Schizosaccharomyces pombe: one gene and its partners. The protein of the gene in region 3 interacts with the protein of the main gene of each other region in a biochemical or structural test. Each region holds a gene or a part of one and is shown on either strand. Other genes may lie near its edges.

Region 1 (5,271 bases), on a different chromosome or scaffold from region 3:
AGGTTTGTGGAACCCAAATGGTAATTGTGTAGTATGCTGGGGAAGAACTGGTGGATGGAGACTCTGGAAGCAAGATGCTGGGCAATGGCTCCAACTTCCATCTATTTCTGGTCACACAAAGTCAGTGAAAGGCGTTGCTTGGGATCCTGAAGGTAAATTCTATTTATCCGCCGGCACAGATCAAACTACTAGATTGTTTGCACGTTTTAAAAAGGATAATGCTTGGCATGAAATGGCTCGACCTCAGATCCATGGCTATGACTTAACCTCTATATCCTGTATGCCTTCTCGAATTGGATTTTTGAGCTGTGCCGATGAAAAGGTGTCTCGTGTTTTTAAATTCCCTAAAACAATTGTTAGACTTCTTTACCGTTTATGCGATACCAATATTGGGGAGGAAAGCTTACCTGATGCTGCAAATGTTCCTTTACTAGGTCTTTCTAATAAAGCTACCACTGCATCTGAAACTGGTACGGTAAATGCAGAAGAAGTTCAGACTCCTGTTGCTGATGTGATTGGTTCTTTGAACCATCCTCCTTTTGAAGAACACTTACAGCGTTTGCTATTGTTTCCGGAAGTTGAAAAATTATTCGGCCATGGTTATGAGGTTTATGCATGCGCCATATCTAATAATGGTAATATTGCCGCGACTTCTTGTAAATCACAAACCCCCGAACATGCTGTCATTCGGTTATACGAAACGCAGTCATGGAATCAGCAGCAAGTCCTTAAAGGTCATTCTTTGACGGTTACAACTATAAAGTTTTCACCTGATGACCGATACATTTTAAGTGCTGGGCGGGATCGGTTGGTGTGTTTGCATGAGCAAGCCGAAAATTTATTGGATTATAATAACTTTGCTTCTATAAAAGCGCATTCTCGTATTATTTGGGATGCTAGTTGGGCTCCCAAAGAAATGGGTTACTTTTTTGCGACTGCTTCGCGTGATAAATTCGTGAGTAATTTTTTATTTGATCAAATCTTGCTAACTATTTAGGTTAAATTTTGGAAAATCAATGACAATAAAAAAATATGTGATGTTGCTGCTCTCCAATTTTCTGATGCTGTTACCGCTGTTGACTTTGCTCCGTTCTTTCACAACGATGAACTCTTGCTTGCGGTAGGAACTGAAGCTGGTAAAATATTTATTTGGAGATGCCCGAGAGAGAATCTTACCAAATGGTACCCAACACGTTTACCAGACCACATGGCTCCTATGGAGTCAATTAACCAAATTTTATGGAAGCCCACTTTTGAAACTATGGGGTTGTATTCTCTTTTAATTGCTGGCGAAGATACCAGTGTACGACTTTTGAACGTTACGTTGGGATAAACTTGAAAATAAGTACAATTGGTAATGTTAGATTGGGTTGGCCTGTTTTAAACATACCTGAGGGGTGGTTAAAAATGCTTAGATAAATTATTTATTGTTATAATTGTCGATAAATAAAAGGAAGGTTAATGGGTTGTTAGGTTGGCATAATTAGTGCTGAATGGTAGACATTCATCAGATTGATTCATTACTTTAGTTGTTATATATATATATAAATATGTATTTTTAATTATTAGTATCAAAAACTTTGGTGTAGTAGTCTTCTCAATTAACTCAAACACAATTTTACATGTTAGAGAAAAAAACAACACATAAAAATTTTTTTTAAAAATAAATTATATTTAAAAGGTAGATAAGGCAAGATTTTAACTAAGAAGTATTTTCAAGCGTAATAGAATGCAAGTTGTAAATCTAACTAAGAACATTGATTACTTCTACGAAATTTAGTTTATTTTTTTTCCCTTTCTATTACTCGTTTACATTTATTGAAAGAACGGAGCAAGCTAGGAAGTAATTTATATTCAACTGAATGACTGCATTTTCGGTAGTGTCCAAAAGTAACACTTACCAACTCCAAACATCTATTTTGCAAACCTAAGTCTTAATAAAGATACTTTTTATTAAAGGCTATATTTTCTCAGGTTTGAATTTGTTGACTCAACGAGTTAATACTTATATACTCCGGCCTTGCTAAATCGATATTCTGTAAAGTTTGACAGTGTTGTATTTGCCTACAGGCTTAACGAGTAATTACTTATTATTTATTCAAAAAAGGGAGAAAAGGTACTAAGTACAACTTTTGAGTTTTAGAATTGGAGTTTTGGGAGAGCATTTGCTGTTTATTTATCTTATACGCTCCTTTAATTTTTGGCACCCCGGAGGAACATGAGCCAAGATCAAGAAGAAGACTACTCCAAACTTCCTCTAGAATCAAGAATAGTACATAAAGTATGGAAAGTGCGTCTATCTGCTTATGAAGAGTGCAGCAAATCGTTTTCACTTTCAGCAGATGGTTCGGATAATTGCTTTGAGCTTTGGAATAATCAGAGTGAATTGTGGAAATCAGTGCTGACTGATAGCAACGTAGCAGCTCAAGAAGCTGGTACCGCAGCGTTTGTAGCTTATTGCAGGTTTTCCGATCCTTCTCATTTACTTAAAGCTCGTGAAATATCAGTCCTTTCAATTTCAGAGAAATGCTTAACATCACCTCGCGCAGGTACAAGGGAAAATGCACTAGAAGCTCTTATGCTATTAGTTGAAGCAGATTCAGCTGCGCCAGTTATAGAATCAATCATTCCTTCTTTATCGGCTCGATCCCCGAAGGTAATAGCTTCTAATGTCGCTGCCATTGCTAGTCTAGTTGAGCAGTTTGGTGCTAAAGTTATTCCTTCAAAAATGATTATTCCACATATCTCCAACTTGTTTGGTCATGCTGATAAAAATGTTCGTAAGGAAGCATCTCGTTTAACTGTAAACATTTATCGGTGGACAGGGGATCCTTTAAAAGATTTACTATTTAAAGATCTAAGACCAGTTCAGACGAAAGAGCTTGAGTCTCTTTTTGCTGAGCTACCAACAGAGCCTCCCAAACAAACTCGTTTTTTGAAAAGTCAGCAACCTACATCAGAGCCGAATGTTGAAACACAGGTAGAAGAGCAACCTGCTCTCGAGAATGAAGAAAGTGAACCAGAACCGTCAGATGATCAATTTGATTTGGTAGAAGAAGTGGACGTTTTACCCAATGTGGATCCTAACCTGGAAACTTTAATGGCTTCTTCGAAATGGAAGGATCGTAAGGAAGCGTTAGACAAACTACTTCCTGTCTTATCTCAACCAAAGATCAAAGACAACGATTTTTTTAATTTAGTTGCTATTCTCACAAAGTCTGTTTCAAAAGACGCAAATATCATGGTGGTTATAAATGCTGCACACTGTATACAAGCGATGGCTAAAGGTTTACGCTCAAATTTTTCGAAGTATGCCTCAACATCTATTAATGCACTGTTGGAACGATCCAAAGAGAAAAAGGCTAATGTAATCGAATCACTATCTTCTGCGATGGATGCTGTTTTGGCTACATCCAGTTTGGATGACTTAGCCGAGCTCATTGCTAGCTTTGCCGGGAACAAAAATCCTCAAATCAAAAGCTCCTGCTTTAGTTTGTTCTCGAGATCTTTCAGTAATATGACATCCTTACCATCTAAGTTTACAGTTGATACCTGTGCTAAAGCATGCGTTCCTGGTGTTTCTGATACCTTTGAGCCGGTGCGTAGTGCGGCAGCAGAAGCCTTGGGTGTTTTGATGAAACTCGTTGGTGAAAGAGCCATTAATCAGTATTTAAGTCCGTTGGACGACATCAGGAAATCTAAAATTCGTTCTTTTTATGAAACAGCTACAGTAAAGGCTAAGGCACCTACAAAAAAGTCGAAAGTTAAACCTTCAAAACAAGAAGAATCAAAAGTCGTCGTACCTTCAAATGCTAAGGCTGTCAAGAAATCCGTTGTTCCTTCTAGTCCAGTTGTACCATCTCCACGAAAGGCAACTAACAAATCGCTTTCCATGGATGTATCAAAGGGTAATGCATTTGAGAATGGTCCTTTGTTACCAAGACCGACTACGAGGCCAGTTTCTCGAGGGCTTTCACGAGGCACATCTTCCAGTTTGCAACAAAAAGTAAAAGCTTCCACTCCTTTGAATTCGGGAGCACTTAACGAAACGGTGCAAAATTTGAAGAACATGGAGTTGGACGATCCGGCTCCTCAACCGGCTAAGCATTCACGAGTTGATCGTTATGAACACCCTAAAGTATTAGAAGACAATGACTCTACCATTTCGTCTTTAGAATCTCTGAAGAGAGAAAACGAGGAGTTACGAGAGCAGTTGAAAGTTGAACATGAAGAGAATATTTCTATGCAAAAACAACTCAGTGAATTGAAAGGTGAATTAAATACCTTACGCAGTGCCAGGAAAGCCTCACCAATAGGAGACAGAAAACCTGCATTTATGCGAAGAGCTAATACTGACTTTTTAGAGCTCTCTACGAGTCCCTCATTTCAACGTTCAGTGAGGGAATTTGAACCTACTAGACCTAAACTTTATAGCTCTATAGATGTGAATCAGAGATCCCCTTTAGCATCTGCGAAAACAAATGGTAATTTCACGTTTCATGCTGAATTACCAAGATCACCGTTTTCGTCAAGGGCCAATAATATCAATCCTGATTGGACTAAAGCCATTGATTTAGCTGCCAAACTAAAACAAAAAATTACTGAGATGAAACAAACAGACCAAAGACATCAGGGATTGATTCACTAGTTTTTAAATTCTTTCGTTTACATTCCAATGTCCCTTACTTCCCTTTCTATTTTTTAATGTTTTAGAATAATGATAATATCGGTTTACAAAAATAATAACAAAATACGTATTCTCGTTTATACCAAATTTCTTAAAATCAGATTTAACTATAGGTTAAAGATGGAGTCAAATGGTAACTCAAACACACAACACAAACAAACATATAAAATAAATAAAAGAATTTTAACGTACGAATTTATCGCATTAAACGTATTAGTGTCATTAAAAAAAGTAGTCTGTTTAATTTTGCATCACAAGTATACTGTATAGCCGTACCAAGTATAAACGAAAACCTCTTTTTAAAAAAATTAAACATAATAAAGAAATTGTTAGAAGAAAAAAAATAAAGATATGCGTAAAGTACAGACAGTCGAAAAAAGAGTAACAATCACATGAGTCTTTGCCCAATGAAAAGTTCTAAGCTTTGTTCAAAAAGTCCGGAGGACTGATGTTGCTAAAGTAGTCCAAAGAAGCGGTGGAAGGAGTATCGGCATCACCATCATCGTCCTCCAGGTAGAAATAAGAATCACGATAAGGGGAATAAGGCGGTAAATGGGACAATTCCGACTCTAATTTCCTATGAA
Region 2 (4,361 bases), on a different chromosome or scaffold from region 3:
GTGATGAACTTATCCGCTTCTTCACTTCTTTGAGACTTTCAATTACCTGTATAATATCTGTAGATTTGTAGAAACAGCTAAGTATCGCTATATGAATATTGATTACTTACATTGCTCAAGTAGTTTCGTTATAATGTAATGTAATAGATAACAAATTTAAAAAAAAACTGCCTATAAGAATCACTGTATAGCTGAATATTAGTTTAAGAAATTAAGCATACTAGTGGCACCTTTCACCACGAATAGCTCCATGACTGCTGCTAGCATCAAACTTCTCCAACCTTCTTATCGATCTTAACCACTATAATTATCTCACCATCATACGCGGAATTTCATTTATTTGATCAATTGCTTTTTCATTTGCAAAAGGCCAACTATCTAGAAGTATTCTTTCTCTTTCCATTTGTTGTTACCATTACTTCTTGCGTACAGAGCAGATAGAAGTATTAGAATTCATTTATTTTTTGTTAACTGTCTTTTTTACCAAAAAAATTATTTTTTAAGATATTCCCTTCATTCCAAACTTTTCTCTCAATTTATACTCAACATATTTCTTAAATTCCATTATGGCTTATCAAACTCGTGAAGGTCTCCCTAATGGCTGGGTCGCTCAGTGGGATGAACGCTACAAGTGTTACTTTTATGTTAATGAAAGTGATCCCAAAGCAAAGCCGCAATGGGAATGTCCGGTCCGTGGTTTAACTATTCCACCACCTCCTTCGGTGGACCACTCTGCTCCCCCAAGTGGACCGCCTCCTTCTTATTCCAACTCAGCCGCTCCTGCCACTCCTGCCGCTTCTGCTTCTTCTGCTGCTCCTGCTCCTGCTCCCGCAGCTTCCCAAAACAGAGCATACGGGGCCGCTCCACAGCCTTATCCCCCTCAGGGCGGTTATCCTCAACAACCATATTATTATCCCAATCAACCAAATTATTACCCAGCCCAGCCTGCCTACGCACAACCCGTATATGCCCAGCCTGCTACTTCTGCAAGAAGAGGTCGTAGCGGAGTCTTGTCTAATCCCATGGTGACTGGTTTGGGCGGACTTCTTGTCGGTGGTTTGGCTATGCATGAAATGGACGAAGCTTTTGATCGTCCTGAAGAAGTTGTTTATGTAGATGATAATAACTACAACAATTTTGATGATTATGGAGGTAATGACTTTGGCAATGATTTCTTTTAAGGGAATTTCATGCATCGATTATGTTATTGAGTTCAACTGCATTATTGACAAGTGTTTCTCGCAAGAAAAATTACATTAGATGAACGATTAATACATATTTTACTGCAGAAATATAAGATCATTCATTTTACACCTGTGTGTACACGGGGATAGTTCATTAGTGTGGTTAACTCGAAAGTCTTCGTCGTAAATGAATATTGACTTATTCAATGCTGTTCCCTAGTAATAGTTATTATTTATATTAACTTTTTTTTACCTTTTCTCCTTCGCAATGCTTTTTATCTATCTGGATTTTTTTTATGACTCTGTAACTTCTGACATACACACGGATTCTGCTTGTTTTTATAAGTGTGATATTTATTTATTTATTTTTCTTTTAAATAAAAAAAAATGTTTTGTTTTCTTTGCGAGCAGGTGGAGAAGTCTTTGACAGTTTTTACAATTTCACATTTATCTTAAAGGGTTAGTCTATAAATATTAGACAACTCAGGATAATCCAACCTACCGTAAATTTATTTATTTAATAATAGCACTTTTTTGACTGATATTCACATTTACAATTTTTTAATTCACGGTTATACAATGTCTTCAGATGATGTTTTGATTATGTAGTTCTTCATATCTGATCACCTAGTATAAATTGCAAGTAATGAGTTATGTCCTACTTTTCTAATTTCATTTTTGATAACAGTATAATTCATAAGTTAGAAACATGAAGCGCTAGCCCTAAGTTCGGTTTGATAATAGTCCTCTGCGTTTCCACTAGTCTATCGCTAGTTGAGCAAGCTTACCCACAGCACAACACAACATAAGCAAATTTGTATAAACGTATTTTGAGATCATTCTCGCATCTCTATTAACAGATATTAGAAAAATTATTTTCCAAAAAACATACCGCTAGGTTGCTTCTTTTAGTGGTTTGCAATGGAGAATTATCAAAAAGTCGAAAAAATTGGGGAAGGTAGGTGTAACTGAGGAAGCTATGACTTATCCAATTTCTTTTCTGTCACGTATACTGACTAATGCTAGGAACCTATGGCGTTGTTTATAAAGCAAGACATAAATTGTCAGGGCGTATTGTGGCCATGAAAAAAATTCGCCTTGAAGATGAATCTGAGGGAGTTCCTAGCACAGCTATTCGTGAAATTTCGCTTCTTAAAGAAGTGAATGATGAGAATAATCGATCAAATTGTGTTCGGTAAGTTTTTACTTGACGGATGCATGGGAAATGTTTACATTGATAAAACTTTGTTTCTAACCCTTTTTTAAGACTTTTGGATATTTTACATGCTGAATCAAAGTTGTATCTTGTTTTTGAGTTTTTAGACATGGATTTGAAAAAATACATGGACCGAATTTCAGAAACTGGGGCCACTAGTTTAGATCCGAGACTTGTTCAAAAGTTTACCTACCAGCTAGTGAACGGTGTAAATTTTTGCCATTCTAGAAGAATCATTCATCGCGATTTAAAACCACAAAATTTGTTGATAGACAAAGAAGGCAATTTGAAGCTAGCAGATTTTGGACTTGCGAGGTCATTTGGTGTCCCTTTGCGGAACTATACGCATGAGGTATATTTTTTTTCTTACTTGGCTGTATGACTTTATTCCCAAAAAATTTGGAATATTGACTGACGGTCTTTCAGCATTAATTTGTGTCGCTAACCGTTTAGATTGTCACTTTATGGTATCGTGCTCCTGAAGTATTGTTGGGATCAAGACATTATTCCACTGGGGTTGATATTTGGAGCGTTGGATGTATTTTTGCTGAAATGATTCGACGAAGTCCATTATTTCCCGGTGACTCTGAGATCGACGAAATTTTTAAAATTTTTCAAGTTTTAGGTACCCCAAACGAAGAAGTATGGCCTGGAGTCACGCTTTTGCAAGATTACAAATCCACATTTCCTCGTTGGAAACGCATGGATTTGCATAAAGTTGTTCCCAATGGTGAAGAGGACGCTATTGAATTACTCTCTGTAAGATTTTGCATTACCATCTATTTAAGACTAATTACTAACCATTTTGTCAAGGCTATGCTTGTTTATGACCCTGCCCATCGCATTAGTGCAAAACGAGCTTTGCAACAAAATTATCTTCGTGATTTTCATTAATTTTCGTCTCTTATTATTAAACCTTTAAAAACGCTATCCTTGACTTTATCTGTACTTTGCTGTGTTTCTTGATATCAGTTATTAACAAATTACCTCAATTTATAAACCGAAAATATTTATTTTCCTCCTTCTTTTTCGAATCTTGGCGTTTGTTCAAAACATACTCAAACAATGGGCAATTTACAGGGCATATAAAAAACACTGACATATTGAGCTTGCCATTAAATGTGAATTTAGTAACGTTTTTAGTTCTGTTCCCTTTACTGTGTCTTTATTGTAAATATCACTTTAAATGCTTTCTTTGACTGTCAAGGGAATTATCGCCGTTCTTTTTACAAAAGCAGGCTCTGAGTGTTTAAATCTATTTTTCTTTCATTCCTGATAAAACTGAAGCCTTTTAATCTCCCTTTTTCTTACTTACTCTTATCCTTTGTTTTCCAGTTTTTTAATCCTCATTTATACTATATTCTATTTACATATTTTTTATACTTAAGTATTAAAAAAGGTGTATATTCTTTAGACTTTAGTTTTTAGTGTTCGTGTTTGCTCTGAACATATAAACTGCACTTACTTAGATGTATTTAGTATCAAAGAGGTGAATTAATTTTACGAGCAAACGGTAAAAGAACGTAAATGTGCTTATTGTTCAACAGACATACGTGTTTATTAAATTTTACAAGATGAAAGTGATATGAATATTTGTATTTCACACTATATTGAACGCTAAGCGAGCATCATTTACAGCTTAAGTCTATACCTAGAGCGTTTGGAAAAATTCAAAATTAATAAATCGTATAAACAAGAAGTAAAACTAAACAGCGCAGGAGAAACCACTAGATGCATGGATACATACTAACGATTGAACCTGGCAAAGTGTAATTGGACAGAATGAAACGAGACATATTGGAAATATAACGTCTAAAGATGAAACGCAGGACAAATTTGTTTGGAGGCTTGAGAGGAATGAAAAGGGAGCAAATACATGGAGGGAAGAGCATTTCCATTAAACTGCGCATGCACATTTTACTTTCCATGCTTTAATCATAGAAAAAGGTAACCAATTAAAT
Region 3 (4,533 bases):
TTAATCGAAGGAAACACGGTAAGGTTCTCAACTGAATTGTCTAAAGACTCAGATAAATTATCGGAATCAAAATTTTCTTGAGTTAAATAGTTTTCAGCCGAAGGACTAGGTGTTCTTGGTCTAATTGCTGATGAGCTTAACGTATCAGCAGTATGCTTTTGTTTAGGATCGAATAACCAACTACGAAATGTAGAAAGCAAAGAATTACTTGAATCTGACGATGTATGCCGACTTTTTAAAGAATCCTGATTGTTGGACATAACAGAAACTTGAGCGGTTTTTAATGATGGAGTTGCTGGAGCTATGTGTACAGCCGAAGATGAACCTTTATGTAAATGAAACAAACCTTTCTTTTTTTTGTTTTCCTTACGCATTTCTTTTTCTAGTAATAAAAGCCACCATCCATAGAACATGTCACAGCGCTGTTGTGAGATGCTGGCATTAAGTTGATCCATGTCAACACCAACAAATTCAAGCCTTTTACGAACTTTTTCCTCTGCTTTCGAGGAAGGCCTTGGGTCTCGAATAGAAGATGAATGATATCCATTTTCCTTGAAATAGGGGTGAGAGATGATTTGATCGATAGAGGGTCGAAGTCGGTAATCCTTGCAAAGGAGGGATTTCAACAAGCTTGAAGAGTTTTTGGAGAGTGTTTCAGGATATTGAGGACATTCATTGATAATTTTTTGCTCAGTTAAAGATACATCGTCCTCGTCGAACGGGAGCCTTCCTATTAAGAGAGCGTACATAATTATACCCAGAGACCATATATCAACGCATTCACCAATATATTTATGGCCCTGTACTAGCTCCGGAGCACAATAAGCAACTGTACCACAACGTGTGTTCATAAATGTTCTACGGGAACAATCAGAATCTCTAGAAAACCCAAAGTCTCCAAGCTTAACATTGTAGGCTTTATCTAGAAAAATATTTTCGAGTTTAAGGTCACGGTGAACACAGCCTTGTCTATGTAAATACTGAATAGCACAGCATAGCTGCCACATGATACGGCAAGTGGTCTTTTCATCCAGCCTTTTTTCTCTCGCTACCCAGTCATACAATTCACCATTTGGACAATACTCCATGGCAAGATAAATTCGGTCTTCGGTGCATACTACTTCATAAAGCCTCGTGATGTTTGGATGAAGAAGACGCCGATGATGATGAATTTCTCGAGCAAGGATAATCGCTTGTTTCCTGCAAGATGATTTCAGGACAACCTTTAATAAAAATGTTAGCAAGGTACAATCAATTTATTGATGAATAAAACGTTTATCATTCTCATAATGTAATCAACCGACTTTGGAACGGTCAATATTCGCAATTTACGAGCCGTTTATTCTTCTTTTTATAACTTAGAGACATAGTAATCTTTGAATAACCCATACCTTTGTATTTGTCAGTAAATGAGCTGCCAAATAAACTTTTCCAAAGCTGCCTACAACCCATGCTTGTTAGATAGCCGTCCAGTATTGAGCGTTCACAATAACACAAAAGTATCGTACCTTCACCGACAACACTCTCAATGCGATATGTACCGACATCAGAGATACGAGGATTGCAAATTGTTGCAATTAGGTCATTGTATGAGGCCGATATCTGCCATTCATTAGATAATCACGATTTCCCTCTTTTCATATACATACGTTTGCCTTTTCATTTTTCTTCATACTAAAATTTGGCACACATAATATCAAAGGTTGACTTGCAAATTGTTTAGTGTTTACAGTAGGATACTTTGGTGTTATTACAAAGGCTTCGGAGAACAAGCTACCGAAAATTCACCGAGAGCTCGGTGAACTCTTCCCACTCTCTCCTTACTCAGTGTAAACCAGTATGTATGTGCCTTTTATTTACACCACCATTGTACGCCTAGTGTTGAATCAAGACGAAGAATTGAGGGCAATAAGGGGTTATTTATTGGGCATTGTATGACTCAAGTTTGTTATTGAACCATTGTTCTACGTAGGCGGACATCTGACCAGTTTTCAAAAAGTAAAAATAAAAGTTAGCTACTGATCGTTAACTTTGAAACGATAATACCAGCTGTAAAATATTTGAAAAAGGATTTTCTTGTGTATTTATATTTCATATATCTGTTAGTTCTTTATATCGTTTGACGATTTTAAAAAGTCATAACCGAAAATGAGTGATATCGTTTCGAGCTCTACAGATTACAGTAGGAGGTCTCCCTCCTCATCTAGTATTGGGACAAATGAAACTGATCATACGGGTTTTCATGAAAAAAGGCAAGGTGCCTCTTCAGAATCATTGATTCCTCCAGCTCAACGAAGTTCAGAGGAATCCATGCCTGCCCCTAAATTATTCCCTAAGTTAACTTCTAAACCCAATCCACAGCTGAATTTAAAGGATACTCTTAATAAGCGAGTAAGCGATCGACTACAAGCCTTAGAGTTGAATAAATCTTTTGATTTTTCAGGAACCCCTAGACCGATGCATCCCATATCCCATCCTTTGTCACAGCATAAAACGCCAGAATTTAAGCATAGAAAAAGAAATGTAGAATCTATTTTGACGCCGAAGAATCCTTCTTTATTTTCATCGTCCAATGCGGCCTCCCAACGAGGCTCTTTAAATACCGCTCCATCTAATTTTGCATACAGTCATTCATCATCTTTGCAAACATCAGCTAGTTCTAGGCCCCCAGTGCTTTCAAACGGAAGCTTCCCACGTCAAACTAATACGGCGCCGTTGAACCCACCAGTGCATTTGAAAGACAACATTCGCAACTCTGCTACACCATCAACTTCACAGGCCGATATACCTACTCAATACCCAATTAATTCCACTCAAAAGCAGCAAGCGAAATACGAAGCTGAAATAGAGGGCTACAAAGCCAAACTTGCTGGCACTTATCATGAAATTTCCGTACTCCAAAATACAATCGTCAATGTTTCGGGACAATTGATTGCCGTTAATGACCAACTTCAGCAACTTAGATCTGGAAAAGCATCGACTAGTCCCTCCACAAAGGATACCAACATGAGACTTGTTGAAGGGCATAATGAAGAGACATTAGCTCTTCAGAGAGGTAAATATACTCAAGAGGAAGTTGACAAGTTAATTCAAGAACGCATGGAAAAAGTTGCTGAAGATTTACATGCTCAGTACTCAGCCAAGCACACTCAGAAAATTAATGCTTTCAAAGCCAATTATGCTCGAAAATACGAGGCAACTATACAGGAGCTTCAAAATCAAATCGGTACTGCTCCTAATGCTCCAAAAATATCCAACAGTAACTGGGAGGAAGAAAGGCGAGCATTGAAAGCAGACAATCAGACTCTCCAAAAACAGCTGGAGAAAGCCATTCAAGAGCGCCAAGATATGTCAGATTTTTTGAACAATTTTAAAGCTGATATGGCGAAGAGTGATAAGTTACTAATGCAACAACAATCACAACAGACAGGTGATTTGGAAACACTTCGTTTACAACTGCAAGCGCTTCAAGAAGAGCTCCGGGTCGAAAGGGAGGAACGACAACAGTTGATACAAATGAGCGAGGACTTGGTAATTGCAATGGATCAACTGAATTTGGAGCAAAAATCATGATCTGCGCTTTCATTTTTGATAAAAACAATCTCCATAATTTTTTTTTTTTTTTTGATAGAGTATTGCTAATGTATTGATGCCGTTTCCTTTATCCAAACCACTTCTGTATTCTCATGATTAATTTAGTTTCATATTGATGACCCCAGTTTCATGAATACAACCCGAATTCTTTTGATTTCCATTAATTAAGCCTTCTTTTATGGTTATACATTATCTACCAATTTTCGTATATTTATACATCATAACAGTTCGATATACAACCTAATATAAATTGCATATCCACTCTTTCTTCTTTTATTTGTATTATAGATAGAATCAAAACTGGAGCCAATCTCAAGGCTAATTTCTCACATACATACATTAGAAAACGGTGCATTTATTTAATAAATATCCAATTATTATTAATTGCTCGTTCTAGGTGCTGTTTAAACCAAATATTTCTTTCCTGGTCTGTATGTTGCACCTACATCAATCTTACCTATACTGTACATCTACTAAGGACGTTCATTACTCTGTACTTTCCTACAGTATTTGATTAGGGAAGTATTGTTAAGAAGGAAATTAGTATAAAAAATAAGTCAGAAAATTTAGTCGGTTCTTAAACTTGCATTCAATTTTAGTAGCTAACTTAGTTCCATCATCCACGTGTGAAACAGGCTACTGAACACACCAATTGCGCTCTCCTTTTCTTCATATATTTAATTTTCAACAGTAATATTTTATATATGATAATATAACTAAATTGGATATAGTCAAACTACATAATATCTTATTTGAATCGCTTCTAGTTTATTATGGACTATAAGCAACGCATTGAAAAATTTAAAGACATTTTAAATTCGGAAGAGCCAATTTCTCTCCCTGGTTTATGCTCGCTTTGTATTCAAGGAATTCCTGATGAATATTCACTTAGGGCAAAAGCTTGGATGTTGATGCTTGAGTTCCTTCCTACCGATAGAT

The links. Proteins that work in one complex are often made in the same cells at the same time.
Region 1: the proteins of alp7 (region 3) and alp14 form a complex in vitro, tested with the Schizosaccharomyces pombe proteins (2 studies listed by BioGRID).
Region 2: of the proteins of alp7 (region 3) and cdc2, one has a biochemical effect on the other in vitro, tested with the Schizosaccharomyces pombe proteins (one study listed by BioGRID).

The regions. Positions count from the first base shown.
Region 1 is NC_003421.2:1,009,544-1,014,814, forward strand, and holds alp14 (microtubule polymerase alp14), read left to right. Parts: upstream 1-1,899; 5' UTR 1,900-2,218; coding exon 2,219-4,648; 3' UTR 4,649-4,771; downstream 4,772-5,271. Other genes in the region: elongator complex subunit Elp2, read left to right, coding at 1-955, 998-1,333; SPOM_SPCC895.08C (uncharacterized protein), read right to left, coding at 5,105-5,271. UniProt on the Schizosaccharomyces pombe protein: Required for bipolar spindle formation and proper chromosome segregation. Has a role in connecting the kinetochores and the plus end of pole to chromosome microtubules. Also required for the activation of the spindle checkpoint pathway.
Region 2 is NC_003423.3:1,498,235-1,502,595, forward strand, and holds cdc2 (cyclin-dependent protein kinase Cdk1/Cdc2), read left to right. Parts: upstream 1-1,973; 5' UTR 1,974-2,009; exon of another isoform or gene 2,010-2,051; 5' UTR 2,052-2,105; coding exon 2,106-2,142; exon of another isoform or gene 2,143-2,210; coding exon 2,211-2,379; exon of another isoform or gene 2,380-2,451; coding exon 2,452-2,752; intron 2,753-2,853; coding exon 2,854-3,159; intron 3,160-3,213; coding exon 3,214-3,294; 3' UTR 3,295-3,861; downstream 3,862-4,361. Other genes in the region: protein wwm1, read left to right, coding at 567-1,181.
Region 3 is NC_003424.3:5,001,811-5,006,343, reverse strand, and holds alp7 (kinetochore-associated protein Alp7), read left to right. Parts: upstream 1-1,858; 5' UTR 1,859-2,148; coding exon 2,149-3,573; 3' UTR 3,574-3,944; downstream 3,945-4,533. Other genes in the region: serine/threonine protein kinase Ppk16, read right to left, coding at 1-1,223, 1,392-1,441, 1,509-1,602, 1,650-1,673; tbc13 (GTPase-activating protein), read left to right, coding at 4,368-4,533. UniProt on the Schizosaccharomyces pombe protein: Required for bipolar spindle formation and proper chromosome segregation. Has an indirect role in connecting the kinetochores and the plus end of pole to chromosome microtubules by targeting alp14 to the spindle pole body.